Pelodiscus sinensis: one gene and its partners. The protein of the gene in region 3 interacts with the protein of the main gene of each other region in a biochemical or structural test. Links are inferred from orthologs where the notes say so. Each region holds a gene or a part of one and is shown on either strand. Other genes may lie near its edges.

What was found.
Region 1: the proteins of ASF1B (region 3) and CHAF1B form a complex in vitro, tested with the Homo sapiens proteins (2 studies listed by BioGRID and IntAct). The link is inferred for Pelodiscus sinensis from reciprocal best matches to the Homo sapiens genes ASF1B and CHAF1B.
Region 2: of the proteins of ASF1B (region 3) and TLK2, one has a biochemical effect on the other in vitro, tested with the Homo sapiens proteins (3 studies listed by BioGRID). The link is inferred for Pelodiscus sinensis from reciprocal best matches to the Homo sapiens genes ASF1B and TLK2.

Annotation. Positions count from the first base shown.
Region 1 is NC_134711.1:185,728,011-185,738,312, reverse strand, and holds the start of CHAF1B (chromatin assembly factor 1 subunit B), read right to left. Parts: upstream 4,303-10,302; 5' UTR 4,161-4,302; intron 4,121-4,160; exon of another isoform or gene 4,028-4,120; intron 1,851-4,027; 5' UTR 1,850-1,850; coding exon 1,724-1,849; intron 1,368-1,723; coding exon 1,235-1,367; intron 493-1,234; coding exon 375-492; intron 1-374. UniProt on the Homo sapiens protein: Acts as a component of the histone chaperone complex chromatin assembly factor 1 (CAF-1), which assembles histone octamers onto DNA during replication and repair.
Region 2 is NC_134739.1:5,111,122-5,121,460, reverse strand, and holds the start of TLK2 (serine/threonine-protein kinase tousled-like 2), read right to left. Parts: upstream 4,992-10,339; 5' UTR 4,525-4,991; intron 2,900-4,524; exon of another isoform or gene 2,897-2,899; 5' UTR 2,892-2,896; coding exon 2,811-2,891; intron 1-2,810. UniProt on the Homo sapiens protein: Serine/threonine-protein kinase involved in the process of chromatin assembly and probably also DNA replication, transcription, repair, and chromosome segregation. Phosphorylates the chromatin assembly factors ASF1A and ASF1B.
Region 3 is NC_134729.1:10,140,320-10,150,441, forward strand, and holds the start of ASF1B (histone chaperone ASF1B), read right to left. Parts: upstream 4,878-10,122; 5' UTR 4,792-4,877; coding exon 4,683-4,791; intron 837-4,682; coding exon 721-836; intron 1-720. UniProt on the Homo sapiens protein: Histone chaperone that facilitates histone deposition and histone exchange and removal during nucleosome assembly and disassembly. Cooperates with chromatin assembly factor 1 (CAF-1) to promote replication-dependent chromatin assembly.

The DNA of each region.
Region 1 (10,302 bases), on a different chromosome or scaffold from region 3:
TTTGTTTTATCTTTTGGCCCTTTGTTTAATATTCATGATTAAATTATATTAATTATAAATTCAGTAATAAAAATGTCTGTTTACTTAACATTTCCTCGTGTACAAAAACAGAGCTTTTGAAGTAAATAAGTAGGTGCAGAGAACTTTGCTAGAGAAAACTGGAGAAACAGACTGGTACAGAACACTGCTAGTGACAGATACTAAATGAGAACAGTAATTAGAATGAATAACAGGAATACACTTTGAAGCAAGTGAGTTTTCGGGGGGGGGGGGAGGGCCCCCGGTAAGAGATTTGCATAAGTTGAGTGGAAAGCCATTCCAGACAAAGAGCATCATGGAATGAAGAAAACTCTCCAAAAACCCAATTAAATTACCTTAATGTTTTAAATACTGTCCAATTTTCTTTGTTCAGCTGAGCTTCATCTTCATCTTGAAATGCTATTGGCTCTGGTTCTTTGTTATCATTCAATTTCCACAATAAAATCACAGCGTCTGTGGAATAATATGACTTGTTGATAAGAAATGTTTGGGCTTTGTTTATAATGAATTATTATATTGGTCTTATTGTGCTATTATGTTACATGTAATCTGAAAATCAACCAGCAAAAATATTTAGACTAGTCTTGGAGATTTGTTTTAGGGGACTGACCTAGAAATGTTTTTATCCCCGTTACCTTTATTATGTAGAAACAGGAGACAAATGTATAAGTTAGTTTTGCTTTATGTTGCTCTCCTGGACTTTTTAACTGTTGATTAAGAAGGAAATTTCCAAAGGTCCAAGTGAAAGTCAGGTTCCCAACTTCCAAAAGACTTTCAGAGGGTATATAATTGCCCTTTGTGCCTTTGGAAATCTTTCCCCAAAATGTTACACATTCCTGTCAAACACAAGAGAGCTAACCAGTCCCTTTGTCCTTAGAATAAACACTGGTCTGTGACTCTGGAGATGTATGTAATTTCCAAACTCTGCCAGAGTCCCTTTATGTTTATGATATTGGGAGAGCTGCTCAATACGCCAATTGTAAAATAGGAACAATTCTTTCATATCTGTAAAACAGAGAAAATATTTTGTATCTCAAAGGAGGCTCAACCAATAAATTCACCAGGGTATGTGAAACACTCATATATCACCATGATTGGGAAGTTAATGGATCATACAAACCCCAAATCGGAAATGTTCTGTGCTCTTTTTACATGACTTTCATCTATCTTTTTTATATTGTTTTTTGTTACTCACCGTCTCCTCCTGATGCTAAAACCTCACCATTGGGAGAGAAACGCACAACATTCACTGCTTTCGTATGGCGAGCTAGATTTGATAAGAATTCCACAATTGCTTTCCCATCTGGTCCTTTTTCCACTTTCCATATCTAGTTATAAAAGAATTACATATAGTAAATTGCCTGCTATATACCTGAAAATTGATTAATTTTTAATCTTGTGCACCATTTTCTTCAGTTCCGTTATTTATATATTTTGCAAGGAGGCAGAAGGAATGCAGATATTTCAAAAATCTTACCCAAACTTGATGAAATTAAGAAGCATTATTATTCAGAAAATTAAACTCAAGTTGACAAAACTCATGGCCCACTTTCTCATAACCTTTTATCTGAGTCACTCACTTGTGGGGCAGTAGGAAACTGGAAGAATGTGAGATTTTTAAGTAAAATTAAATGTCTTGTTAGATATTCTGCTCACACTAAAATCAGCGAAATTTGGAACTCACACGAACAGCAGTGTCTACTCCTGCTGAGGCCAGTCGATTGATTTTCCCTTCAGTTCCATGTTGGAAGTCTAAGCTATACACCGGCTCTTTGTTGTGCCATGCTATTTCACAAGTGATGACCTTCATTCTTTTTAAAGGAAAACATGGCAGATATCAGATATTTTGCATTTATTTTTACAAGAATTATAGTCAAAGTTAATAACAAACAGAGAAATTTTAAGAAAAACATTACAGTAAATTACAAAAGATTACTAAAAGTCTCGGAGGGGTAGCAGTATTAGTCTGTAACTAAAAAAAAGGGAAAAAAACAACAACATTGGTCCTGTAGCACCTTAGAGACTAACAAAATATATAAATATCATGAGCTTTCGTGGGCACAACCCACTTGGACAGATGTGAAAGCAAGGGGCCCAGTGTCTCAGTCTGCCCTGTGGCATGTCCCACTCGATCCACAGGCAGGGAGCAGCCCCAGAGCTCAGAGGGCTAGCTGTTCCATCTCTCTCTGGCTATGTCTAGACTGCAAGTTTCTTTCAAAAAAGAGCATCTAGACTACAATCAGTCTGGATGCTCTCTTTCGAAAAAGCACAGTTTGCATTACACAGCGCCTTTTTTTGCAAGAGCACTTTTGAAAAAAGGCGTTATTCCTCGTGAAATGAGGAGTGCCACCATTGAAAGAAAAGCCGTGTTCTTTCAATGTAATTTTGAAAGAACGAGGCTGTAGTCTAGATGCAGGTGAAGTTTTTTTCGAAAAAAGGCTACTTTTTTTCGAAAAAACCCTGCAGTTTAGACACAGCCTCTCTGTGGTCAGGAGGAAGGGGGAAGCTCTGTGCACTGTGAACCCTGTCCTTCACCCAAACACCCCCTAATAACCTCTCCTGCACCCAAATTCTCTACCTCAAGCTCCATTCTGCACCCATCCTCCATCTCAGACCTCCCATCCCCTCCATAGAAAAGTGTGGCCCTTGACCACTTACCAACATTTTGGAGTGGCCCCACCACATCAAAAATTATTGCTCACCCCTAGTTTATGATAACTGACATTTTCTGCAAGAGCAATAACCTTTTCAGAGAATAAGCCATAGCTCTCAACTCCATGACTGGAAATCTTATTATGATGACAGAGTTGTGCTGGAGCAGTGTTTAGGTACATTTCTTTGGACATAAATGTTTTCCGATCCCCAGATCTCAAAGTGGTTGCATTCTTCATGTTGCTCTGATCCCTCCACTGCCTGCTTTGACTGCAGCAAAAATAATTGCATAGGCTGGTTTTTGAGTCAGCAAGTGCAGCAAGAATAATGCTAGAAACACAGCAAGCAGGGAGAGATGGGTAAAAGAGGAATTCACTGTTCAGTGCAGCAGACCTCATGGACCATGAAAGTTAAGGTAAAATGAAGAGAAAAGATTTAGCATGCTGGAGAGGGAAGAGAGATGAACCTAGGAAAAGTGGGACTTGAGATGGATCAGAACAGAAATTCTTCCTCCTAAGAAAAGAGAAGAGCTGCTTACTAGTCACACAAAAGATGCTAAAAAAATAGTCTGGTAGCACTTTATAGACTAACAAAACATGTAGATGGTATCATGAGCTTTCGTGGGCACAGCCCACTTCTTCAGATGAGCGGAGTACAGCCGCTCCCCGAGTTATGAACAAGTTACGCACCAACACTTGGTCCGTAACTCGAAGTGTTCACAACTTGGATCCCATAGTGTTACATGGCGACGGCGCTGTTCGTAAGCATGGATCGCCGTTCGGAACTCGGATCCGCATTTCCGACTGCTTTGGTCCTAAGTGCGGATGGTCGTAAAAGTGGAGGTGGGCGTAACTCAGAGAGCGACTGTCGTGGATGGCCAGCATTGTGGCCATCTGAAGAAGTGGGCTGTGCCCACGAAAGCTCACGATCCCATCTCCATGTTTTGTTAGTCTATAAAGTGCTACCAGCCTATCTGTTGCTTTTTCAGTTGTTGCTGTTCCAGCCTGGCTACCCCTCGGAAGCGTTTGAACAAGAGAGGCCTCAGCAACAAGGGAGCAATGTTCGCTGACCCAGCGGCTCTCTTCCGGCTCTGCACATCGCCACCGCGCTGCCGACAGGGCGCAGGAGCGTCACACGCACAAACCCGCGGTTAAAAGGGCGAATCCCCCCGGAGCGACACAGGCAGAGGGGGGCGGAGCGGATACACCCGCAAACCAACCCCCCCCCCTTTCAAAATGCTCCAGCGCCCCCGCCCCCCAGAAAACACCGGCCCGGCAGCAGCGCGCCCCTGGGGCAGGGGGGAGGAAGCCGCAGCGACCCTGTAGCTGCTTCTCACCAAAGCCCAGCGCCGCGTCCCCAGCGTCACCCCCCCATCACCCTCCAATACTGGGGGGCGCACCGCGGTTACAGCGGGGTCACCGCCCCCGGCGCTCCCCCCTCCCCGCCCCGAGCCTTCGGTTGCCGGTTACCTGAGGCAGGCGCGCGCGGGGCAAAGGAGGCGGGTGCCGCCGGCCGGGTTCCTCTTTCCCGCGCACCACGGCTCGCCCGCACGAACCACGCATGCGCGCGCTGACACTTCCCGGGGGGGGGGGGGACTTGCAAGGATGCAGCGCCACCTGCTGGGCAGCGCCCGCGGAGCCCACAGCCAGGGCTGGGTAGGGCTGTAGGGTTGCCATGGCAACTCTCTAATAGCACGCTCTGTTCCCTTTGCCCCGCCCCCCATTCCACCCCCCTCCCAGCCTAGTGGGGCTGCGATGCTGGTGGGTTGCAGGGGGCACTTATCTAAGGTTGCTGCCTGGAACTCCCATAGTGGTGATTCCCAGCCAATGGCAGCTGCAGAGCCAGTACTCAGGGAGACGGGGCACACAGCTTCCTTGCCTCCCAGCCCCACATATGCCAGGGGAAAGCTGAAACATACCAGTAGCTTCAGCCCACCTTAGCCCCATCTTGCTACTGACTAGTCTTTTAACAGCATAGTCAACAGTCCTGACCAGAGCCCAGCATCCACTTTGTGTTAGGGAAGGGGAAGGCAGGGAGAGCTCCAACTGGTGGTGACAAGAACAGAAGGGGGGTATAAATAGGCAGAGCAGCAGCCATTCCCTCTTCTGAGTCACTATTTGAATCCAAGGACGTGGGCAGGCACAAGCCCAGTTCACTTCTAAAAGCCCCTCTCCGAGCCTTGCAGGAAGGTCCACTGGACCCAGGATTCCATTGATTATGGGGGACAAACAATGAATAAAGGGATCAGGAGTGCAGGTCATAGGTTCAAAACAACGGAGCCAGATGGAGACACCAAGCAGAGAACCTTAGACAGCACCCACTGCTCCTTGAAGCTATCCAGGGAGCAACTGGACACTGCCCAGAAGAACTCTGCCCCGATGTGAGTGTAGGAAGAAGCAGAAATAGGCCCCACAGTCACAGAACACCCCTTTGTTCAGCATCCTTCTCCTGGTGTGGTACATGTCAGCTTTCACTAGGGCCAGGAGGAGGTCGACAAGGTGTCTCAACTTTGTGGGGCCACAGATGCCTGGCTACCCCAGGATTTTATAGTGTGTCTTGGCAAAGGGGCAGATTGTTTTATGTAAGAATGCGGAGAAGAAAATCTATTGCACTGGATGGGGTGTGTATCAGATAAAGCCACATATTGTGTGGTAATTAATTAGCTACATGCTGTGATAAGGGAGCTTAACAAAATTTTGGAAACTGAACTGGCATTCCAGAAATAAAGTTGAGATTTGGTGCTGTACCCCTCTACCTCTTTGTAAAATAGGGACAATACTATTTTATATTAAGCAATTTTTCAGCAATAGTATGCTATGACACTTTTAAATTATGACTGATTTTGTAAGAAGTTTTTAAGTGATGTGTAACTTGGGAGTAAGCAAGACAGATCAGACTCCTCAAAGGGTTACAGTAGTCTGGAGAGGTTGAGAGGCACAGCTTTATAGCTCAAATAGTAATGCTCTGAGATACCCAACCTGATAGAGGCAAAGTTACACCTTGAAAAATGACAATTGTTTTCTACAAAAGCAAGTTAAATAAACTTAACATTCTGTCTTTTTTGGCACTTGAACAGCAAGAAATCTTCTGTTTGGGTAAAGAGGGAAAGTCTTCTATGCATTTTGCTAAACTAAACATTTGTAAAAATATAGCAAAGTTTATTAGCACAGTGTTTCTCAACCAGTGGTATGAGTACCCTTAGGGGTACTTGAGAGACGTCTGGGGGTACTTCAACAATAACATCTAGAGAACTGAATTTTTGTTTTAAGTTTTACAGTGCTGTTATTTTTGTAATTTTTACAGCCAAAAATTTCATTGCTCACCCAGCTACAATTAAGTTGTTTAAAAAAGTCACTTTTTTCTACCATTGCGTCTGAAAACTGTCGGTACGGGGGGTACTTCTAATTTTTTTTTTTTTAAAGGGGGTACTTTATAAAAAGAAGGTTGAGAAACACTGTATTAGCACATCCAAACAATGATTTCACATTGCAAAATAGTGTAACAAGTGCTTCAGGGCTCTTAAACTAGAATTATATGCAGGGCTCGACAATCTATGTGATCTACTTGCCCGTGGCAAGATGATTACAACCTGGAAGAGCTGGGTCTGGGTGATCTGCACATGCACAGAATGCCGGACAGCGTGGCTGGCGAGCAGGGCTCACCGCAGCTTGGCAAGCCCTGGTTCTATGTATATTTTCCCACCCCATGACAGTTATATTTCAGTGCACAGCAGAGACCTATTCCACTTCAGCACTCGTGGTGATACTGGTATTTGTGGGCAGGGAGATGAAGCATACTGGTATCCTTCATGTAGACCACCCCTTTCACCACGGCTATTCAACATGTGGCCCACAGCCCATTCATTTGCGGCCCATGGTGGGGTTTGGGTTTATGCACAGCATACAGCCCGCAGGTGGGATCCTTTGAACATGGCCTACACTGGGAACGACTTCCACAAGGGCAAGGTATCTCCCAGGAGGTGTGAGCATTGAAAGATGCAGATGGATGGGCTGGCTGAAACAGATGGGTACAGGGCATCAGCATTTCTAGCTCCCTTCCTCCTCACTCCCCCCCACCCCCGAAGGTGGTGTGGGAGTGCCAGGGCATTGTGGGAAGGGTTAGCCGCTCAGCCTTGTGGGCAGAGCCTGAGAGGTGCAGACTGGCTCAAACTGGCCACGTTTGTGTCCGGCGCTACGGCTTAAAACAATCTTTGTATTCATGCCCATCAGTGTGAAAAGCTATTTGCATGTATATGCAACCACACTTAAGTTGCAGCCCTCAGCATGCACTGTATCATTGTGGCTTCAGGGCTTCCAAAGTTGAGTAGCCCTGCCTTATAGGGAGGCATAGCACATTGCCCTTAGGTTACACAAGCTTTTGGGGGACAGCAGTGGAATGCTGGACATTGGGATCTTACATTTTCATTCCTGGGTTGGATCAGGTCTGTTTGCGGTATAGTAGTTATAGACAGGATAACCAAATGTACCTATAATAGATTGGGGAGTTTCCTGTGATACTCTGGATAAACATTAATTTTATGCATCAGTGGTAGCCTAAGGAACATATGCAATTCAATGTAGGATGGGAGATCACTGTCCTCCAGGAATTAAGAGGTGTTGAAGGGTGGAGTGGGGTTGGGCTAGGCAAATTCATTTCTGTTGTAACACTGTCAGTGCTAGCTCTCTGGAAGAGTCTTGCCTTTACTTGTGCAAACTGGACTCTCCAGGACACCTTCCTCCCCCAAAATGCGAGAACGTAAGTAGTTTGAGTTAAATTAATATGGGACCATCGTTCTGATCCAGCTAACAGGACATTCTATCCAAAATTAATATGGGACCATCGTTCTGATCCAGCTAACAGGACATTCTATCCAACCAGAGGGCCTCATTTCTCAGGAAAGTGTTGAAAGGACTTAAGACCAGAGACCTTTTGGGAGATGGGGTGTGATCTCTAGTAAGTTTAGTGTACATAAAACAATAAAAACCCTATGGTTTTTTCCTGTAATTCTTTTACCTTAAGAATAAACATGTTTGCTTAGAAAGAGCTGTGTGGTAACTTAATTGTGGTACATACACTGTTTACAGTTCTAGATGAGAAAAGCAAAAAAACAGGATTGTTTAGGCAGTCTGACTTGCTGGATAATTCACAGTACAGGCAATGAACTGTGCAGCCTGGAAATAACCTGGTCAGGAGGAAGAAAGCCCTGATAAGCTGAGGAGCTAGCTGGGATCTTAGAACAGGTACCCTTTGCTAGATTCATAGAGGGGGAAAATCAGATGCAGTTGCCTTGAACTGTGAAAGCACCAACACCACCCTTGTTTAGGGAATCGGATATTGAACCTGGGACTACTGGAGGCTTGATTTCATATTCAAAGACTGGAACTTAAAATAAATACAATTTAAAAAATCAGGTCTCATCATGGAAGTAGAGTCAAGCCATCTATATGTGGTCCCACCGCTAAAGAGTGACAACTACACTTTTAGCATGGATTACAGAAAAATCAATTTGACATTCTTCTGAAAGACTACATGGTAAAGTAGATGACATTTCTATAATGGTGAATGTTAAAATAAAGCCAGAGAGCACTATTAAGTATGTTATTTAAAACAAAATTATTTTTTATTGACCAGTTAAAAGTTTTGATCTGACAAAACCAGAACGTGCTTTTTACAAAAAATACATCTATTTACTTTAACAAGTAAACTTACTCTCATTTACCCGCTGTTCCTCAAAATTTAAATGTACAGTATAAATTTTTACTTTTCAATATAGACATTATATTTTACCAGTCATGTATAATAAATTCAACTACAGAAGTAACTGGACAAAACACTTAGAAAATAAATAATGATAGACAAAATGAAAAATTGCACACCAGTTTATCAAAAATGACTTAGGTATATGAACATTTTCATATTTCAGTTACGTATTCAAAATTAAACATTAAATGTATCCATTAGAAACACAATAATATTTCATTATCTCTAGTAGCATAATACTAGATCAGGTACTCAAGATACTCTTAGGCTAAAAAGACTAGCAACGAAGGGAATGCAACTTAATTTAAACAAGACAGTAAGGTTGCTTAAGCCAAAAAAAATATGTTGGTATTTTGATGTTTCACATTAATATGTTTCTAATATTAAAGGGGTGTATTCATGATTGTTTTAAAGATTTTAATTAAAACAGTTTTTGTTTTGATTAGTTGAATGAGAGAACACCTCTGCTGGCTGGGGAAAAAATATGGTTGGAAGGAACTTACCATCCCCATATTTCTCCTCAACACTTTAATTTACTATTTGTGGTTTTCAATTTTGCATATTTTTATGAGCAAAAAAACCAGGCTAGTCCTTTTATTTCTAGTCTTTTTCTGATTCTCATGCACAATTCTATTGTATCTGCAAAACAGGAGTATGTTTAAATTTGAGTTAAGTTTTCAGTTTTAATAAATTCATCGGTCATTAACACCATCAGGAAGGTTATTTGCTTTTGAAAGCATCTTTAGCTTAAATACCCTTTTAATTGCGTAATTCCTCCAACACCGAGTACACCCTATTGTACTCACAGCATGCTGCATTATTGGTATTTTCATGGGAAATGAAAGTAGGAGACAGATTACAGTAGTGTTATTTCAAAAAGTCTAGAACTGGGGTTTGTGTCCGCTGCAGTGGCCCCCTATGCGCCCCCGTATAAGTGGTTAACCAGTTGAACAATGTTTAACCAGTTAACTAATTAAACGTGATTTTTCATCCCTAATCAATATTGCACTACTTCAATTTCTGAGGATCGGTTGTTTGTTTTGAGGACATATCTGAAGTCCCTATTACATATTTGCCCACAGCATACAACCACTATACAATTTAGCACTATCAGTCTTTACTCAAAGGGGTAGTATTTCTGGTCAGCACTGAAGTGCATTGGCAGTCCTATGAATAAATTCACACAGCACATAACAAAACTATCTCGTAGTTAGTACTACAGCAGTATGAGCATCTGCCATTCTCACTAGATTAGCTGAGAATTACTGGTATTAGCACTTGTGAAGAACAGACCCTTATGGTACAAAAAACCCCATATTGCTACCAGGAACAATAGCACAGAAGTTTCACGTATCGTCTATATTTTATCATAAGTCAAGACAAACTCACAAAAAAATTCCTGTTTTACTGTTTGCAAGCAGAATACTGATTTTAAAATATTGCGATTTGTTCAAGGAGTGTGGGGGAAGAAGGGGATCAGAGAGGGTAAGTTTAGTTGCCTTTGTTTTGGGCAAACTATACATTTATGGATCACTGAGAATACAAAAATTAAAAGCAAAGTGAAAAGCTCTGTAAAAATTAAGAATCCAAAATAGAAAATATTTGCAAGTTTAATTACAAACATTTATATTTTAAAACAAATTTGTAATAAATTAGGTACATCCACAGCCTGTCAATGTTGACTGTTCCTTTAAGGAGGAAGTACGTGATAAAGTACCCACAGCATGTGTGACACCTGAATGCACCGTAGTATGTATTTCACACTGAATTTAAGATACTTTTTATATCCAAGTTACTCTAACATAAAAACAAAACCAGTCTTTACAATTTATAAACCATACAATACAGTGG
Region 2 (10,339 bases), on a different chromosome or scaffold from region 3:
TCCATCCCAAGAGGCGAGTACCAATCCCACTAGATGGCACTAATTCATTTGAAGTATCTGTCCTTCCACACCCAACTGAAGAGAGTTAAAATCTCTCTTAAATCTGTTAAAAACCATATAATATGTTTCCAAACATGGACACTTTGAAATACTGAGATACAGATGCCAGTGCTGCATGTGACGGGCAGAGATTTTGAAAAAGCATTGGCCCAGTAGTCAGTGTCTAGGATTAATACTCGTAGAACAGTAGAATCTCCACTTAAGCTCAACTGAAGAAGTGGGGTTTTGCTCATGATACCATATGTCTCTAGTGTGCCACAGGACTACACATTTTTAGTAGGACCTTGGTAATTTTCATGAGTGGATGGGAGATCCATTGCAAATTAACAAGTAAGAGTATGAAGATAAATAAACCAGCTATACCACAAGATGTTCTCTATTTTAAGAAACATAATAGTTTTAAACTAACAATGCCATATTTTACACTAGACAAATTTACTACTATACAGTCCTCTCCTGTGTGCTCTAGGAAACGAGAAACTGTTGTTCTCTTTAGGTGGATCAGCAATTTATGGTTCAATGGCATGAGAATTAGCAAGGTAATTTTCATTAACTTTAATAGTGGAAGAGCATTTTTCTCCCAATTGTGTAACATTAAGTTTTGCATGCTTAGATCTGCTTAAAGTTATTTCTTTATAAGAAGTGGCTTCCTAAAGTTAACATTCACCTCAGTGTTAATATTTAGGCACTGTATAATATAGACAGACGAGGGTCCTGCCCTCAAGAAGCCAACAATCCAGGGGCATGTCTGCATTAGAACTGTGTACTGCTTTAACTATACTTCTATAGTTAAAGAGGTCCAACACACTACCACCACTACTCAAAAGAACGAGCACAATTATATCAGTATAGCTCACCCCATACTAAAACAGGAATAACTATACTAATGTAAGTCATCTTCATCCCCAAAAAACTGCACCCCATTAGAGTTTTTACCTATATTACCATATAAGTTTAAAAAATAGCATACCTAACCAAAAGTTTTAACACTAAAACTTTTCAGTTTTGGACCAGGTCTCAGCTTCCTTTAAGTTGCAAACTGTTTACTTACTGATCTACTTCCAGGGCTTCATAATACAACTGAAGCACAAAGTAGGTCAGAAACAAAGTATGAACTTGGATATAACCTTTCCAAAATTTGATGTATTTATTTTGTACTTTTCATCACAGAAAGGTAAATTAGTTTCCTCTGCCCAATATGATTCCAACAGGTGGCTGCATTTTTTATAGCAACAAGTTATCTAATTATATTTCCTTTCTAGCTTGATATGGCTTGAAACTCAGTGACTTTCAAGTATGCAAACTGGAATGTTATCACTGTTCCACCATTATTTGAGAACTAGAATGGTGAGAAAAATGAAGACACACTATTATAGGCACTATAACAGTACACACAGAAACAGATCAAATCCAATCCTGGAATTTTAAACAAAAGGACGGAAATGACATAGCTTATTACTGAATGCCTTACTCAAGAAATGCAACTGTTATCCAGGTACAAAGTCATATATTAAGAGAAGGGTAGGATTTGGGGGCTGGACTCGATGACCTCCTGAGTAGGGATGTTAGTGAATAGTTGACTAGAGTATCAACTACTCACTTCATCTCCTGCCTTGCTGCCTCTAGGAGAGGCTTAAAAACTGGTTCCCCGCGGCATGGCTCCCTCCATGGTGCTGCCTGCCCCCTCTATCACATGCAGCGGAGAGGGGGGGGGGAGGGGAAGCTGCTCTATCCACAGGGGCCCCATTAGGGAGCTGGACCACCAAGCAGCCCCTGTTCGCGGTGGCCCGAGTTGGCTGTGCGCAGAGGCTGCTCTGGCAGCCAGCCCTGTTCACCGTGAACAGGGGCTGGTGCCAAAGCAGCCTCTAGCCGCCACAAACCGGGGCTGCTGGACTCAGCGCAAGCCAGGACTGCTCGGTCCTGGCTCGCACTGGTCCAGGACACTGTACCTCTGTATTTTAAATGTAGTAAGACCAACTGGGCTCTTACTACATTTAAAATGCTCGAGTCAGCTCCCGGAGGTACCCTCGCTGCTGCTCTGCAGAGTGGTCCTTATCAACTAATCGTGTAGTCGAAACAAATTGTATCGACCACATGATTAGTCAGATAACCACAATTTAACATCCCTACTCCTGAGGTCTCTTCCAGCTCTATGATTCTATGATTTTGCTAGCAGGTTGCAAACCTAATTATACACAAGCTTACCCTTGAATAAGTAAGTTTTGATTGATATGACCAGGGCTTGCCAGCCACACGGAAGGGCATACGCTAACCGCGCTGCGCGGCCCCGCTGGGCTAAAATCTACTCACCACAGGCGAGTAGATAGTTATATCCAGGGCTCAACAAATTAGGCTAAGCTTGTACAATTTCAGTTGTTCTCAAAGAAGAACAAATAAGCTACTCATCTGTTTCCTAGACAAACCCTTTGAGATAGGAAAAAGATGGCCTATCCTCCCTCTTCCAAAACATGTGTGTGGTGCATGGCTTTTTTATACTAGGAAAAAAAAAAAAAAAAAAAAAGAGCAAGCCTTCAAACTCTCACACACACCATGATGTCTATGTACACAGAGGCAAACTCGTTATTTTCAGTATTGTATATTCTTCTTTACACACACTTTAAAATAAGTTAGTGGACAAAGCAAAATTACCAATGAACAATTTCCCCTTATTGAAACAGCACTACTTCTCTGTTAAAAAAAAAATGGTGTGCAAGGTATTTGTGCCTGCTCTCACAGGCACTTTTACTTACTTTGGCAACACCTACTCCAGTGAACCTGGCTTCCAGCAGTTCCTGGCGTCGGGGGTCCAGGCTATGCAACTCTTCCATCATTTCTGCTGCTATGGGAGAAAAATATGCTATATTAGTCAATGCAAGGAAAAGGGAAAGAATGTATTTTCTCTGGCATTGATGATGCTCAAAAATAGCTGTAGTAACAAGTGACTGTATACAAATAATTTCTGTCATGCAATATAGATTCAAAATGATCATGTAGTAAAATGTGACTTGCCACCAAAATGTTACTATTTTAACCAGGGCCTATTCTAGAGAGCTCCATCATCTGACAGAATTACCACTTATTGGAAATTTCTTAACTGGAACCTCAGTCCTATTGCTAACCCTCTGATTCCACCGTCTTCCCATTGAGTATTTTGTTAAATTTCTTGCAGACAAAACAGAAGGGGAGGGCGCTATAGCTGAAGTCTTTAGCCCTACACTAGTCAGAAACTCTCAAACATCCTTCATACCCCCACTATTCTCTGTTTTTGCCATTCACTGAAGCACTGGATAACTCCAAATGCCCTACAGCTACTAGGGCTTTTGTGACAACTTCAGAGACAAAGCCTAGGCTCTTCAGGAAAAGGATGAGATGGAGAATGATGCTTTTTTAAACTTCTCCTTTTACTAAACAATGTACCAAATACTCAAACACACAAGTTTCTCCCATATAGTTGGATGCTTCTGGGTACTTCCAAGTGATCCATTAAAACTGGCACCATTGTATGAAACGCTTTTTTTTTTTTTAAAGGCATCCTTGAGTCATCTGGTTTAATTCTTGAAACGTACAATTTCAGTGTTAATTGAAAAAAAGTGAGGAATTGCAGAGTTTATTAAAACTGTGATTCACATCTTCTTAACTGCATTCGGAGCAAGTTCATAAGTTCCAGAAATATCTGTTCCAGTTTCATTTCTCCGAAAGAGATCATGGCAGGAAAAAAAAAAATGAGAGAATACAGATTTGCTGTATAAAGATCATATGCTACATGGAAAGTTCCTGAAGGGCAGCAAGTGCCCTCTAGAAAAGCCACCATATAATTGTTCCTTTTATTGACTGTCCATTTTGTCCCCCCAATCTCATTTCCTCTCATCTCCAAGGTGCTGAGCGAGTCCATTTGGGGGCATTCACACCCTGAAGAGGCCATAAAAGCCCTAACACACCGAGCCACCGGATTAATACAACCCTCTGGTCTCCATTTAACAAAGCTGTCAGTGCTCTCCCTTGGCAAGGAGCGCAGCGATGGAGGGGCGGCAGGGGCGCCCCACCAGCAGGCAGAGCCTCCCCCACCAGCGTGGCGCGGCCTGGGGACAGGGGTCCCAGCCCTGCAGGGGGGCTGAGGCGGACACACGCGGGGGTGTCCCTGCCCCCCGGGGGTGGGGGGCGCCCTGGGGCAGACCTGCTGACAGGCCGCACCCCGGGGGCGGGGGAATTGCCCCACACCGGGCACGATGTTTCCACACGGAGGGATGTAGCCCCCCCCTCCCCCCAGTCCCAGCTGCGGCCCCGGCCTCCCCCTCACCCGAGGCAGCCATCGCCTCCACTGCCAGGCCGGGGATCCGCAGGCCGAGCCCGGCCCGCCCCGTGGCCTGGCGCGTCCCCCCCCCGGCAGCGGGGCCAGGACCCCCAGGGCGGGGCCGCGCCCCCCCCAGCCCCCTAGCAACCGCCCCCCCCCCCCGCGGCTCTCACCTGGCGCTGCTCCCCCGCCGCTCCTCTCCCCTCCGGCCCGGCCCGGCCGCTCCCCGGGCCCCGCTCGGATCCCGCCGCCGCCGGGGGCAGCAGCAGGGCGGGGGGAACCTGCTGCGGCCGCCCGGGCGGGAGGGGGAGGCCAGGGGCGGCTCCGCGGCCTCTCCTGAGCCAGGCGCCCCGCCGGCGCGGGCAGCGAGCTCGGCGGCTCCGAGGCGGGGACGCGGGGCGAGCCCCTCGCCGGCGCCGGGGGAGGCCGCGGATCCCCGGCCTCGCGTAGGCGCCCCGCCCGGGCAAGGGGCGCGAGGCGCGGGGAGGGGGCGGCGGCGGCCTCGGAGGACAAAGGCCCCGGGGAAAAAGGGGGGGGGCGGCTCCGACGAGCCGCGGGGGGGGGCACGAGAATCCGGGGCACCCCCCTCCCTGCACGGTCAGCCCGAGTAGTCGGCGATGGGGGGGTGGGGCGGGTGTCGGGGCGGCCGGGTCCGCCCCCTGGTCCGACTCGGCCCGGCCCGGTAGGGATCGATTGGTGCAAAGACACACTAGTGAAAGCGCGTGTTCTCTCGCGAGATTTGCACGGCTGGGGGGGGAGGGGAGGTCAGTGCTGGGAGGGGGGAAGGGAGGTCAACGTAGGGAGGGGCTAGTGTCTGGGGTGGGGGAGGTGAATGCGGGGAGGGGAGGGGCTAATGGGCATGGGGAGGGGGGAGGTCAGCGCGGGGAGGGGCTAGTGCGTGGGGTTGGGGTTTGTGCCAGGGGAGAGGACTGTGCATGGGGGGCCAGGGCACCTGGTAGGAGAAGTGGGGTCAAGTGTAGAGGGGAGGGGCTCCGTCCTGGAGGTGAGAGGTTAGTGCCTGGGGAGGGGGCGTGCACGGGGAAAGTAGAACGTGCAGAGGGCCAGGGTTCAGCACAGTTGGATTAGTGCATCGGGGAGGGGATTGGTGGAGATTTATACCCACCCAGGTTGTTTCACCCTCCAATGAACTGCAAGGCTGCTGCTAGGGGGCAAAGTGGGTGGCTGACGTTTTGCTCAGGGGTAACCTGGGCGGTCTTGCTCCCCCAGCCAGGAGGGTGCTTTCAAGGAGTAACAGACCAGGCGCAGAGGAGCGGAGTTGATGCATAAGAATGATCAGTGCGAATCCACTTTCCCTGCTTTCTGCTTAACTCCCTGTGGCATGAAGGGAAAATTCCTCCCCATCTCCACCCAGAGGGAATTCCTCCCTCTTCCTGAGCAACAGGGGACCTTGTTTGCAAAGACAGTCTCCTGTTCCCCAGAGATTGACTCCAGGGCCTGAAGGGAAGAGTTTATAGGCAGAACATCCCCAACCTCCCAATCAATTGTGCCTCTGAGGAATTGCGAAAAAGACATGAGAAAACAAGAATGCCTCTTCCCTGATTTGCCATTTCTTCAATCTTTTTAACAAGCTCCTGATTAAACATGGATATTGCACATAAACAGCAGGATGGGCAGTCAAAGCAAACTAAGTGACTTTAAAATTAACCACAGACTTTCCTGGCACTTTTACAGCTAGGGGTTTGCTCTTGTAGTTGCCTCTTGCTAAACTCCAGTATGAAAAGGACTTAATCTCCCCCACAGTAGCCAGACTACCTTGTAGTTTGTTCTTATTCCCTTTTCTTCCAAACCCTGGGGCATCACCAGAGAGAATATTAAGTGACGCTAAACAGCACTGCAACTCACTTTGCTTTAAGGCTGAATCAGCTTTCTGAAAAGCAAACAAATTGGGGGTGGGGAAGGTTATTCAGAAAGGAAGTGGCCATGCCTGTCCAAGTGGAGGCAGGCGTGGATTAGGGACAGGAAAGGAAGTTGCTGGGATTTTGGATGAAATATTTGCCTTCCAAAACTACAGTGCAATGGTAAAGGTGTTCTAGACAATATGGCTGCATGTCAAAAGAGAGTCAGCCACTGAAGTCAGATTTACTTGATTGCAATAAAGAGAACGTACAGTCGAACAGGAATCTGCCAGTTTGGCAAATCTGAGGATACAGAGTAGGACTAAGGGAATGATAGATTCCATTGGAATGTACAAGAAAAGGCAGTAACCTGCAGTGCTGAAAAGAACTAATATTTTATTTTAAAATGGTTAGTTTAACAGAGGTTAAAAACGGTAAGGTGGGGAGTAGAGGAGGCTGCTGGGCACTTGCTTTGCAAATCACTTTGAAAATGTCTGCCTTTTCTCGTAAACTGCATTTCCTGTGCTTTAACCTATTTCACAGCCGGAGATCCAATCTGAGGAAGTAGTAGCAAAATTTCAGCTCCCACCCCGAGATGCACCGTGGGGACATGAACACTGACAGGGACCTGTGCAAACTGTTTTGAAAGTTGACTTCTGTTGTGCATGTTTCTTAAGCCATCTAAATTATTACAACTTATCACCACAGTTTAGAGGATGATTAGTGACATTTGGAATTTTCATTCATAACATAAGTAAACTTCATTGGTATAGTTACAAATCAACAAGAGAGAACAGAAATGGAAAGGAGATCTGGGAACTCTTATATCCAAGAAGCAGGTCAACTCCAGCAGGGTCTTAACTGCAGTGGTTTATGTCTGTGGATCTGGATGTGGCTTTAGAGCCATTAGTTCTGATGGTCGATCATCTCCTTGAGGCAGGAAACAGCAGTCAGACACTCAGGCTACTGAAGCGATTTAGTTATACCAGCAGCCTTGAGTCACGTAGCAGAATGGGTGTGTCACTTCAGTATGGTTTTGCTCATTCCTTTGAAGAAATTCAATATTGCTCTTGATCCACATGCTGCTTTTCCTCAGTTGTGGAGGGTTCAGTCGCTTGTTCAACATGTGAAATACCTGGGGGAAGAGTGAGAGATGCCACAAGCTGCATTTTTGTCCTATACTAAGGGTCCTTAGCTCTTTGGGTATGAGCCACAAAGATACTTAGACTCCCAGGGGTGAAAGTAACTTAAATTTCTTACAGATACTGTCCTAAGGCAACCTGCCCCTCTTGGGAGGGCTCAGAGCAAAGAGTGGGGGAGGGGGTTGCGATGCAACTACCTGTGAGAAATGTAAGAATGGGGTGGAGTGCGGGGGGAGAGGGTTGGGGCTTGAGGGTGTAGGAGTCAGGATTTAGGTATGAGAGGAACTCAGGGCACGGATGTAGTTGGGGGGAGGTGCAGGAGTCAGGGCCGGGGGTTGGGAGTCTGGGGGAGAGGCTCAAGACAGGGAGCTGGGGTGCATGTGTAGGAGAAAGGGGGGGCTGGGATGGCTGCTGCCTGGTTACCTTTACCTGGCTGGGGGACAGGTCCCTGCCTTGCTGCTCCTGTTTGCTGCATGGCCACAAGGGAGCTGTGGGGGCTCCAGGGATACCAGCAGCAGTGTGAGCTTGCCACTTCCCTTCCCCTGGCTTCTTCCCAGGGGCTGCTGGCAGCCGTGCATGCCACGGACTGCACAAGCGCTGCCTGGCATCCAGCGAGGGGGGCAGCAGGACAGGTGTGGATGCACCAGTAGCTTGGCTGGAAGCGTGTCTCCCCCTTACAGCGCATCCCAGCCAGTCCCTTGCACACCTGCCTGCCTCACCTGGCTGGGCACGCCAGGTCTCCGGCACCAGCCTGCAGGAGCTGGCCTGGGAAAGCATCCCCCAGTCAGCTCTTGCCCGAGCGGCGCACCGCCTTACTTTCACCTCTCTCCTGAGTCCCTTAGGCTCCACTCAACTCCTACGTGGCTGTCGCCTTAGCCCTGGAAGGTGCCTGTTCTCCCTCAGCACCGTTTTTGCAGGAAAAGATGCCCAGGCGCTCATGTGTCTGGCTCTGGGCATGTGCACTCCTGCATCCTGCTAGTTGCCCAGTTATCTCCTCTGGCTCCCCCCCATAACTCACAAAGCAGGGAAGATGGACATTTTGCCATTCACGTCGTAGGCAGGGTCCCACTCTGGTAGGTGTACCCAGAAGTGACCTACTGGATCCGGGCCCCCAGACGCGCCCACACAAAATGAGAGAGAGGAGCTCATTCTAACCTTTAGCCTAGTGCACTCACCTTGCGACCCCTGGTCCAAACCCCCCCTCCTGCGAGAGAGAAGGAATTTGAACAGGCTGCGGCCCCTCTCCACTGAGGGCTCTAATTGCTTGGCGGTTAAGTTGTTCCAAGTTTTTCTCAGCCCCAATTAATATTTAATTATTCTGGTTTTCATGAGAGGGGAACATCTGCAATAGGAGGGATTGAGGAAGCCTCACATCAGAATACTCCATGATCAAGTGGTCAGAGCACTCACCTGAGAGGCAGCAAAACCCTCTTCAGATTCCTTCTCTGCCTCGGAAGGAAGGGGTTTCCTACACTCTGGCTGAGGGCCTAGCCACAGACTTCCCCTGCCTGAGGGCTCATTAGCAGAGATAAATGCCATCCGGCTGCCCAGACTTAGCGCCTATTTCTGAGTCGGGACAAGGCTTAGCACGTCCCCTCTTGCTCTGCATCTATTGGCTGGCTTAGGCAAAGGATGTTAAATACTGAGTAATTTACTAGTTGATTGACACTTCCGCATTCCTCCTTTGAAATGTACAAGAGCCCCAGCAGGTTATGCACTGAGATGAAATGCACATCTGAAATGCACTGAGCCTGGGCTGAGCTGTGTGGTGCTACCAGGGCATTTCAAAGTGGCAGCGCACACGAAGCCCAGGTACAGGTTCTGTGCGGTGCTGCCGCTTTGAGGTACCCCCTATTCCCCCCTGCTTTGCTGCCTCTATTTCATAGAAGCAGCAAGCTGGGGGGGGGGGGCAGGGGGAGATATCGACTAGTCAACTACTCCTTAACATCCTTAGCTTAGGCAGCTCCCTGCCTAACACACATGCTTGTGGCTCACCCTCAATATGGAAACCTGGGCAGTTAGCTCAGGCTTTGGGTATCGCAGGGTCGTCCCTAATTGACTAAGGATTGCACACATCCTCTTCATGTGGCCCTACGTTCCCTTGGCTCCCGTCCCTACACCTGCTTGTTCATCTCATCAGCTATATCTTGTCCGCTAGATGGGGGCAAGATGAAACCTTAGGTCAAGGGATTGTCATTTTCTGTGCATTTGTGCAGCACCTCACACAACTGGGATACAACCATCTTTTCCCCGCCTTTTGTATCCTTCTCTGATGCAGCTGACAACTCCAGACTGGTCTACAGCAGCACACTCGACTTGGGGGCTCTCTCGCAGATCTCTTGAAAGCATCAGCGAGTATAGTATGAGGCCTGACCCATTTTAGGTAGGGTGGATGGATAATTGCATACGACACCTAGTGCTTGTTTTGTGATGGTATGCACCGGCCCCACTCGGGACATGGCAATTAAAGGGGCTGCCGCATTTCAGCCCCGACCTCCCATGCGCTCCCCCCCCCCCCCCCCCGACAAATTTTCCCCGGAGTGTTTTGTTTTGGGTTTTTTTGGGTTTTTTGGCTCAACAAAACCATCTGGCAGCCCTAGTACTGGCACTTCCTTTTTTTTTTTTTTAAACAAACAAAGCACTGACGATATCCATGCCTCCGGCTCTACACTGCCTCCGAAACGCACATAAGTGCCATTCAGCGTGCTGCTCACTGTCTGTGAAACTCTCAATGCTCTAACGGGAAGGAACTTTAACCAGAATTCCCACCAGGGAAGCTGAATTAGGTCACTCTTATGGGAATGTTTCTAATAAAATTATCTAACCTGGACATAGCTTGCACATCACTTAGACACCCTCTCCCTGCGCTTCATCCCAACACTGGCCCTCAGTAGAATGCTTCACCAGTACCACACTACGCCATTCATTCCAGTAGTCACTTGCTCGTACATTATAACTCCACACTCCAACCTTGCTCTGTTTAGGTGCTT
Region 3 (10,122 bases):
GTCACATCCGAGTTTAAGGTCAGAAGGGACGACCAGATCACCTAGTCTGACCCCCCTCCACACCCACTACCGATCCCAACAGCCAGGGTCAGACCAAGCCATGGGAAGCCCAACAGGAGAAAACAGGAGAGACTGAAGTGCCAGCGATGCCCAAGCCTCCTGCAGCAACAAGGAATTGATTTATGGAGCGCTAACCTGACGAGGCTAGCAGGGAGCCCTGCTCTGCACTGCAGAGAAAGGCAAATAACCACCAATGTCCCTGCCAATCTGACTGGAGGGGCTTTGCCTTGGCTCAGCAAGGCTGTGCTCAGACTCTTCCCAGCCCCAAACATGATCAGCACAATCCCGAGCATGGGCGCAAGACCCACCAACCAAGCATGGGAATGGGAGAAAATTCTCAGTCCTCATCTCAGTTGGGAGAAGAGCCCACAGAAGAGCCATGTTAAGAGGAAGGAAAAAATAACCCTGAACACACTAGGGGAAAAGTGTGCTTCCCAATCCCCACAGGTTCCCACTACTCTCTGAAGATACCATGCTCGGAAGACCTTCACCAACATAACGAGGTGGTGCCCAGACCCCCGCCTCCCAGGCCAGGTTTCTGAGCCCTGCCCAAAAGGGCTGCCACAGAATAAGGGTCTCCAGCTGCTTTGACTGCATTTCGCTCAGTCTTTTCCTTACGGGAGACAAGGCCCTCTAGCCCCTCCCACAGCTGTCTCTTACCTCAAAGATGAACATGTGCCTCCCAGCTGGGACAGGCCCCACCAGCACCGAGTCCAGCACCTGGTCATACTCCTCACTTTCTGCAGAGCCCACATAGATGATCTTCCACTCCAGGTCTGAAAGGGAAGGGGAGCACAGTGAGCCTGGGCAGCCACCCCTCGCAGAGCAGCCCTTGAGTAATGCTGGGGCTCTGGGCTCATGTTAGGGTAACTGAGCAAGGTTTACACCAATGCAACCATCTGACCCTGACGCTTACATTCCACATCAGTTCCCCATCCAGACCTAGTGATCAGTGTCTCACTTACAGGCCACCACCCCACTGTGCTGGGCACTGCCTCGACACTCTAGAGACACCACTATAAAGCAGACAAGGATTATTATGCCCCTTTTACAGAGGGTGAAACTAAGGCACAGCAAGATTAAATGACTCGTCCTAGACCCAACAGTCTGTGGCACAGCCCAGAACCAGATTCTGGTCCTGAGTCTTAGGCAAACACAAGACCATTTGACTTAGCTGTAAGTTCCTTCCCTTCTTCCTACCAACCAGTGTTCCCTCTAATCTTTCCTGTCCATGTGCTGGTGGGCACCACCAATAGAAAGACAAAACCCAGCTGTGGGTGCTCTGCTAGTCAGCTGGGTGGCACTGGACTCTCTCCTGCGTGGCATCAGGGAATACTGCTACCAAGCCATTTGTTTGAGGGATAGGGATCCCAGAAGGTTAGCTCCTGTGGCCAGCCAACAAGAGACAGGAGTCTGGCAAGTGGAGAGACCATAGGCCAGAGCAGAGTCCCTGACGGGTGCAGCCCCAGTGGAAAGGGTGCCAGGCTGTTAGAGCAGACTTTGCTCTTTAAAGCTCACCAGAGATTTCCTGATTATGACCCAAGGGCTCTTAAGCATTGTCTGCACCAGTTTAAGGCCAGAATGGTTTTGTTGAAATCCCCCATCTGTCTGCCTGGTTCCATCTGCTGTCCCCTGCCTAGTACTTTCCTCAGATTCTCTTTGAGGCGGCCTTCTTTTTGCTGTTTGTACAGTGCCTGACACAATGGGACCTTTGTCATGTTACCTCGTAATTCCATTCCAAGCAAGTCCTACTCTGGTTTTAAGTCAGGTTAATAGTCAGTGCTCCTTCCAATACAGGTACCAGGGCTGCCAAACTGTCCGTTCAAAGGGAGGAGTTTCAACTCTGAGCCTCTTAGGTTTGGGTGGGTGCTGAGCTTTGGCAAAAGACACACTCAGACATGTCTAAGTCTGAGCCAATGCCAGGCCTATGCCCCCAAGCACAGACAAAGCTCGAAGGATTAGGGGTGTGTGTGTGTGTGTGTGTGTGTGTGTGTGTGTGTGTGTGTGTGTGTGTGTGTGTGTGTGTGTGTGTGTGTGTGTGTGTATTGGGGGGAGGGGAGAGTGGCATTTCCACTTCCACACCAGAGGGAAGTGTTCCATGTAACATGCATGTACTTTCTAGGAGACTGGATTAGCTTACTAACCACTATTTAACATCCCTAATCGAGTAGTCGACAGAATCAACTACTCGATTAGTCGAGAATGGGGTTCACTGTGGCTCTGCTTTTTAAATGTAGTAAGAGCCGCTAGGGAACGAACTAGGTCCCCAACGTTGGCATCTGCCTCCCTGCGGAAAAAGCCAGCTGGAGGAGGGGAAACCAGCTCTCTCAGCACTGGCTCCTGCCCCCCCCCCCCCCCCCGCTGCCTCTGATACAGAGGCAGCTGGGGGGGGGAAGCAACTAGTAGAGTAGTGACTCGACTACCCAATAACCCTAGGCTTATCAGGTAATCAACTACTCCAGCATTTTTCAAACTGTGGGACCTGACCCCCCCGGGGGGTCACGAGCAACTCGGGGGGGATGTCACGGTATCACAAGTTTGAGATCCCCTGAACTACTCGACTAGTCACTTATATCCCTAGACTGGGTCAGGGTAGCTTTTACCAGGCAAAGTGATGTCACGCAGCAGAGGGGGTTTGGATTAAGGGGACATTCTCATAACAAATCAGAAACAGCTTTTCACACAGATGCTCTATAAATTTACAAGAAAGGGGGATGTGCCAGCCATAGATTACATTACATAACAGACTAGAGTAGGTTCCTCATGCAGGGAAGCCTTCCTCAAGGAGCAAACAGCTGCATATACTCTCAAACCCCGGGAATGGGGCTAGAGCTCCTAGAATAGGGAATAGTGGGGGACAATCCCACATAAGCCCTTAAGAGCAAGGAATTTCAGTCAGATGGAGGACCAACACTCGCCCCTCCCTGCACTGGTGAGATTCTGCAGACAGGTTTCCCAGCACAGCATGGTGCGTCCTATTTGGGAAAAAATCCTGTGGGGCACCCCTGTACCCCCCCAAAAAACCCTGCTGAGTAAGGCAGGCTATGTAGGTGGTGGTGCTGTGTGCGCACGCATCCCCCCCCTCCCCTCCTCTCCCACAACCTGGATGATGGCCTCAAAGAGGATGAACTTAAAAAACAACAAATGGTCTGCTACCCCCTGAAGCTTTAAAGAGGACAGGGAGTCCAACAGCTGTCAAAGCTCCTGTCCCCTTGGCTCAGCAGGGCTGTGCTCAGACTCTGCAGACAGCTAATTTTCAAACTGTAAAGCCAGTGAGACATGCCAATTTTTTAGCCTCAAAGACAGTGGAGAGATTTGGCTGCCACCACTCCACAGCTCTGATACCCCCTGAAGTGAAGAGGCTCACAGTTTAGGCCATAGAGGGCTTTGCAAGGTACGCTTGCATGACAATGTCGCTCTGGGATTTGACATCTCACATTCACATTATCCCAACACCCCCCAGAAAGATTCTCTTCGAACCCTGGGCTCCTTTCTTCGAGAAGAGAAACCAGCCTCCCAAGAGATGCCTCAAAAGAGTCTTTTGGATGGGAAATGTTACTGGGGGAGGGCACACAAAGAACTACAAACCAACAGCCACCTTTCAGAGCCACCATGTTAAGTAGTGTCCCGTTCACATGTTTATCAGTGGCAAATATTCAACCCAGGAACATTGGCCCAAATTAGTCTGGACTCCATTAATCAACAAAAGGCAGATATTTTGCCCCTTGAAGTATCCAGACCAGAAGGATACTCTGGCCACCAAACTAAGCTATGAATAGCCTGCTTTCAGAAATGCTGGGCACACCTGATTCTCCCCCATCAGCAGCACCTCTTCTAATCATTCCATAACTGGCAACAAGCAAGCAGAAGTTTGCAAGCAGAATTCCCCCGGCAGCCAGGTACGAGTCCTGTCCCTACTGGTAAGGGGCACGGTTATACGAGCAGGGTTAATCAGGCTAGCTCAGCTAGGTTATTTCAACACCAAAGAGCTCTCTGCAGCATGCTGAGAAGATCTCCAGATCAGATGTAGAACATGGGGGCATCCTTAAAAGGCACCTGGCTTTCTCCTCATGCCCAGTTCTCCCAAATGGCCACATCTAGCTCCAGACTCTTCGCCTGTGCAGGCATTTACAATGGGGACATTACGATGCGTTTAAATTCACACGGCGCTCTCAGCCTCTGAGGGCCTGACAACAAGGCGACCAGAGTGAACAATCAGGCCAAGAGATGGAGGGTGGGGAAGAGGAGCCTGCCCAAGACAGAGCATCTGGCCACCCTCCCTGGCAGAGGGGCCAACCCAGCAGCCTTTTTAAAACACCCGGCGTGTGTGTGGCAGGGTCCAGGCTCCCTGCACTTCGCAGCCCCGGGACGGTGAGGCAATCAGCTCCCTCCATGTTAGAGCCCGGAAGGGACGTGACCAGGGCCACAGCACGTCAGTGGCAGAGACCCCAGGCGTCCCGGCTCCTGGCCAGGCGTAGGGACCAGCGGGCACGGCCTGGACCCCGCTGCCAGGCGCCCTGGAGTCCGACCCCCGGGGGGGGAATAGCCCCGCCCATGAAGCCCCCCCCCGCCAGAGGGGAGACCCCCTCCCCAGCGCGCGGGGGGAGGGGGCCCGAACTCACCGTGCGGCAGCGCCTCCCCGCACTCGAACTGCACCTGGAAGCGGAGCGGGCGGCCGAACGGGCTCGGGTTCTCCAGCACCGACACGCCCAGCACGGACACGCGGGACATGCCGCCGGCGGGAGCGGGACCCGAACCCGCCGCGCGCCACAAAAGCCGCCGCCCCGCGCCGCCCGCGCCGGCCCTTGTCCCTGCCGCGCGCGCCGCCGGCCAATCAGCGCGCGCCGCCCGCCGGCCTGCGCCAATCCTCGCCTGCGCCTTGCTACGCCCCCGCCAATCCTCGCACTTCGCGCCGGGAACCAATCCCCCACCCGGCCCGCCCACTTCCTGCCAGTCGCCACGCCCTTCCCCACATACGCCAATCGGCTTTCCCCGCTCCTGCCCTGGCGGGAGCCGGATGCAGCCAATCCGCACCCGACCCACTTTCCTCCCCACCAATCAGCGTGGGCGACAGTTTTTGGGACAAAGACGGCCACTCACTAGCCGGGAGGAGGGGGGAGACGCTGGGTAATCAGAGGAGGAGCCTGGATTGGTAGGACTGTAGGGGGCGGGGCCTGGACTCTACAGGGCCATGCAGGAGCGGGCGTTACTTTCCTGCGCCGGTGGGTGGGATCCACGAGAGGGGCTCAACAGGGGGCGCTGTGGGGCAGGGAGCAGGGCGGGGGTTCAGCAGGGGGTGCTGTGGGGCAGGGAGCAGGGCGGGGGTTCAGCAGGGGGCGCTGTGGGGCAGGGAGCAGGGCGGGGGTTCAGCAGGGGGCGCTGTGGGGCAGGGAGCAGGACGGGAGCTCAGCAGGGGGCGCTGTGGGGCAGGGAGCAGGGCGGGGGTTCAGCAGGGGGCGCTGTGGGGCAGGGAGCAGGGCGGGGCTCAGCAGGGGGTGCTATAGGGCAGGGAGAAGGGCGGGGGTTCAGCAGGGGGCGCTGTGGAGAAGGGAGCAGGGCGGGGCTCAGCAGGGGGCGCTGTGGGGCAGGGAGAAGGGCGGGGGCTCAGCAGGGGGTGCTGTGGGGCAGGGAGCAGGGCAGGGGCTCAGCAGGGAGCACTGTAGGGCAGGGAGCAGGGCTGGGGCTCAACAGGGGGCGCTGTGGGCAGGGAGCAGGGCAGGGGCTCAGCAGGGGGCGCTGTGGGCAGGGCAGGGGCTCAACAGGGGGCGCTGTGGGGCAGGGAGCAGGGTGGGAGCTCAGCAGGGGGTGTTGTAGGGCAGGGAGCAGGGCGGGGCTCAGCAGGGGGTGCTGTGGGGCAGGGAGAAGGGCGGGGGCTCAGCAGGGGGCGCTGTGGGGCAGGGAGCAGGGCGGGGGCTCAGCAGGGGGTGCTGTAGGGCAGGGGGCAGAGTAGGGGCGCAGCAAGAGGTACTGTTCCTGACGGGTCGGTGCTGGCCCCAGTGTGGTGCTAGACAGAGTTGTGGTGCAGGGATTGGGGAGAGTAGAGAGCAGAGTGCCCCCTCCTGACTCACAGCATTTACCCCCCACTTCAGTCTGCCTCCCTCAATTGCCCCTCCTGCAGATTGGGCTGGATTCCCTGCTCGCCTGGTCTGCTGTGTTGCTGCTAAGCCCAGTCCCATATGTCGCTACCGCTGTGCAGGCTGCTACACGTCTGCTGTGCCTCTCCCCAGACATAGCTGCATTTCAGCACTGGGTGAGCTATCCTGCACAGAGTTGCTGTGTGACTGAAGAGGGAAGCATGGAGTGGGTGAGGGGATGGGAGAGGGGTGTGGATGCAGGAATGAAGTGGGGGAGAAGGAGAGATGGGGTGGGAGATGGAGAGAGGGGTATAGATGGGGGCAGATTGTCTGGTAGCAGTGTGCAGGCTCTCCAACCTAGACCAGGCCAAACTCCCGCGCCCTTCCCTGAGGAGGCCACTATCCAAACCAGATGGAACAAGGGGAGGGGCTCATCATACCACTGACAGGCAGGCGCCCGGCAGCCATGCGAGACAAGGGGGTGGGCTCAGCGTGTCTCCCCGCACCGAGCTGTCGGAGTGAGCAGCCCCGGAGCAGCCGCGATCGATTGGATCCATCACCAGGCTCCCTCCCCAGCTCCCCTTTGGCCCCGGCCGGCTGGGGGAGCCGGAGTTGCAGCCAGGGATCCTCCGTGCACCTGACAGCTTGTCAGCCCTGCCAGTTCGTCTCGTTCTGCTGAAAGCAGGAGCTCCCAGCCCTGGGCCTGGCGCGCTCCCCACCCCCATGCCCCAGATGCCTGGCATGGCAGGTTGGATGCAGAAGGGAGAGCTCAGATACACTGTGATGGCACTTTTTGTTTTTGGAGGAGCAGAGCTGGGTGGGAGGAGCCCTGAATGGGCCAACAGGGCTGTGATCAAGAGTGAGGGGCACCGGCAGAGCTGGGGGGAGCCCAGGGCTCCCACCATTCACTCTCACTGCACTCACCCCGCCCCTTCCCGACATCCCCCCACCAGTGACATGGCCGCCGGTGCCATTCCCCCCATGGCTGGCAGGTGGCGCCTTCGCCTCACCATCCAGCTGAGAGCCCAGTGGGGCAGGCGCCAGCAGGGTCCAGGTGTGGGGCAGTGAGTGGAGGTAGGGGAGGCAAAGTGGAAGCGGAGAGCCATTGCCAGGGGCGAGGGGGGTGGGACATTCATCCCCAGAGCTGGGAGAGGGGAATCACTGACATTTCACACCCCCGTCTCCCCTCCTCCATCCACCTCCACATGTGGCACACTGTACCCCTGTGTCCCCCCACAGCCCTACCCCTGCCCACCCGCTCTAGCACCCCCCCACTGCCTCATCCTCCCTCCTCCATCCACCTCCACATGTGGCACACTGTACCCCTGTGTCCCCCCACAGCTCTACCCCTGCCCACCCGCTCTAGCACCCCCCCACTGCCTCATCCTCCCTCCTCCATCCACCTCCACATGTGGCACACTGTACCCCTGTGTCCCCCCACAGCTCTACCCCTGCCCACCCGCTCTAGCACCCCCCCACTGCCTCATCCTCCCTCCTCCATCCACCTCCACATGTGGCACACTGTACCCCTGTGTCCCCCCACAGCCCTACCCCTGCCCACCCGCTCTAGCACCCCTCACTGTCTCATCCTCCCTCCTCCATCCACCTCCACATGTGGCACACTCTGCATCCCTGTGTCCCCCCACACCTGCCCTCCCACTCCATCACCCCCACTCCCCATCCTCCCTCCATCCACCTCTGCGCCCAAATCCCCCACTCAACCCACACTCATCACCCCCAGACCCATCCCTCCCTCTTTTGCCTCCCCACTCAGCCATCCCTCCCTCCTTCCTCCATCCACCTCCACACATGACAAGCCCCCCCCCCCCCCGCCCACTCTTCCCCCCTCGCTTTCAGCATTCCCCCAAGTACCGGTCTCCCACACTTGACGCTGCCCATCCCTCTGCTCTCTGGCTCGGTCTGTGGGTTTCTCTAGTTCCTGCCAGGTTATCAGGGGGTTCTGAGGCGGGTCCCTGGCCTGGGATCTGATGGGGGCAGCGATTGCTGACGTGTCAGGGCATGGCCGGGCTGATTGGGACCCTGGGACAGAAGGTCCATCTATGACTAGGCTGATACATAGGGCACTGCTAGCAGGGACATGGGGCAGCACAGACGGGGAGCCCATTGACCCCCAAGGGTCAGGCTGTGACCTGCAGCCTCTAGGGAGAAGCCCCTTTGAATTCGTCACAGTCCAGGCCCAACGTGAACTCTGCCACCAGCAGGGATGTGAACAGGCAACTGGTGTTGGGGAGTAGCCCCCCACCAACGGCCTGCTGCAGCCCGCTGCTCCCCTCCCACCAGCTCTGCCAGTGCTGGTCGGTCCCGACCCACAGCCGCCTGCTTCCCTCCCCCCAGCTCTTCCAGTGCCCCTCAGTCCTGACCCACAGCCCCCTGCTTCCCTCCCCCCAGCTCTTCCAGTGCCCCTCAGTCCTGACCCACAACCCCCTGCTCCCCTCCCCCCAGCTCTTCCAGTGCCCCTCAGTCCTGACCCACAGCCCCCTGCTCCCCTCCCCCCAGCTCTTCCAGTGCCCCTCAGTCCTGACCCACAGCCCCCTGCTCCCCTCCCCCCAGCTCTTCCAGTGCCCCTCAGTCCTGACCCACAACCCCCTGCTCCCCTCCCCCCAGCTCTTCCAGTGCCCCTCAGTCCTGACCCACAGCCCCCTGCTTCCCTCCCCCCAGCTCTTCCAGTGCCCCTCAGTCCTGACCCACAACCCCCTTTGTTCCTCCCAGCAGTGCCCCAGGCCATGACAGAGAGCGGGCAGGTTTGGGGGGCACAAGGGATGCTCAGCAGGAGGTGGCTTCATGATAATTACCATGTAACTGTGTCTAATGAAGACAAGGCCGTTAATTGCAGGTAGTGGAGTCTGGGAGGCTGCGGCTGCTTGTTCCCTCCTCCCCCCGGAGACAACACATGCCAGCCCCTTCAGGGCCAACAGCCCTTGGAGCCAGAGCCAGACCCCCACCCCCCTACACACACACTGATCCCAAAAGCCCAGTGGGACCCGGAGCCATTTCGCTGGGCTCTGGCTTCATGGCCTCACTCCCAGCCAATATCCAGGGCACATTTACAAGGGTACTTTCCAGAGCCCCTAACACAGCCCTGCCCTGGGCTCCCCACCCCCGGCTCTGCCAGTGCTACTCAGAGAATTAGCCTCCCTCCCCTGAGCTCCAGGCCCCAGGGGCTGGTCCCCACAGGTCCCCCCTGCTTCCCCGCCAGCCTCCTATGTCCAGCCCCAGCTGCTCCAGCCCAGTGTGCGGGAAGTAGCCGCAGGACTGCCCGGCAGGGAAGGAGCCAGCATGTCTGGCATTGATCAGCTTGGAGTTTGTCCACATGGGAAGCTATTAAATCCTAGGTCATTTCCCTGGCTGTTTGGAGCACAGTGGAATGGGTGAGAGTGGGGGGCGCTGGGTGGCGTGTCAAGGGGCTGGCCCAGTGTCCCAGAGCCTGGAGCCCTGGAGTACAGAGTCTGGAACATGCCTCCCCGCAGGAAGTGGGAAAGAAAGAGGCGAAGGAGACAAATGAAAACAGAAGGAAACAATCCCCCTCTCCTGGAGAGGTGGGCCCCGGCTCTGTCTCTGAGCCCTGTCCACAGTGAGCGCGGCTCCCCTCCACGCAGAGACACTGCGGGCTGCCAGTGCTGGTCCCTTGCTCTAGGACACTTACACTTCTTGGACCAGTGATCCAGACGCTGCAGCATTTAGGGAACCTGCTCTAGAGCCCAGTGACCTTTTTGACTCTTGTTCTAGCACCAGAGACCATGTGACTCTGATCTAGACTATGGGGGGGGGGGGAGGTCCCAAAACTCTAGAATCTAGATCACATCACTGCTTTGGCATTGTGGCTTCCCACATCAGCTTAGTGTGGCTCTAGAACACACGGCGCCATTCTGGAGCCCAATCTAGAACGTGGCAGCTGGTGGGTCATGTTTATATTGGGATGCAATTGGGGCTCACACGACACGGGCGATGGCAAAGGCAGCGTGTGACT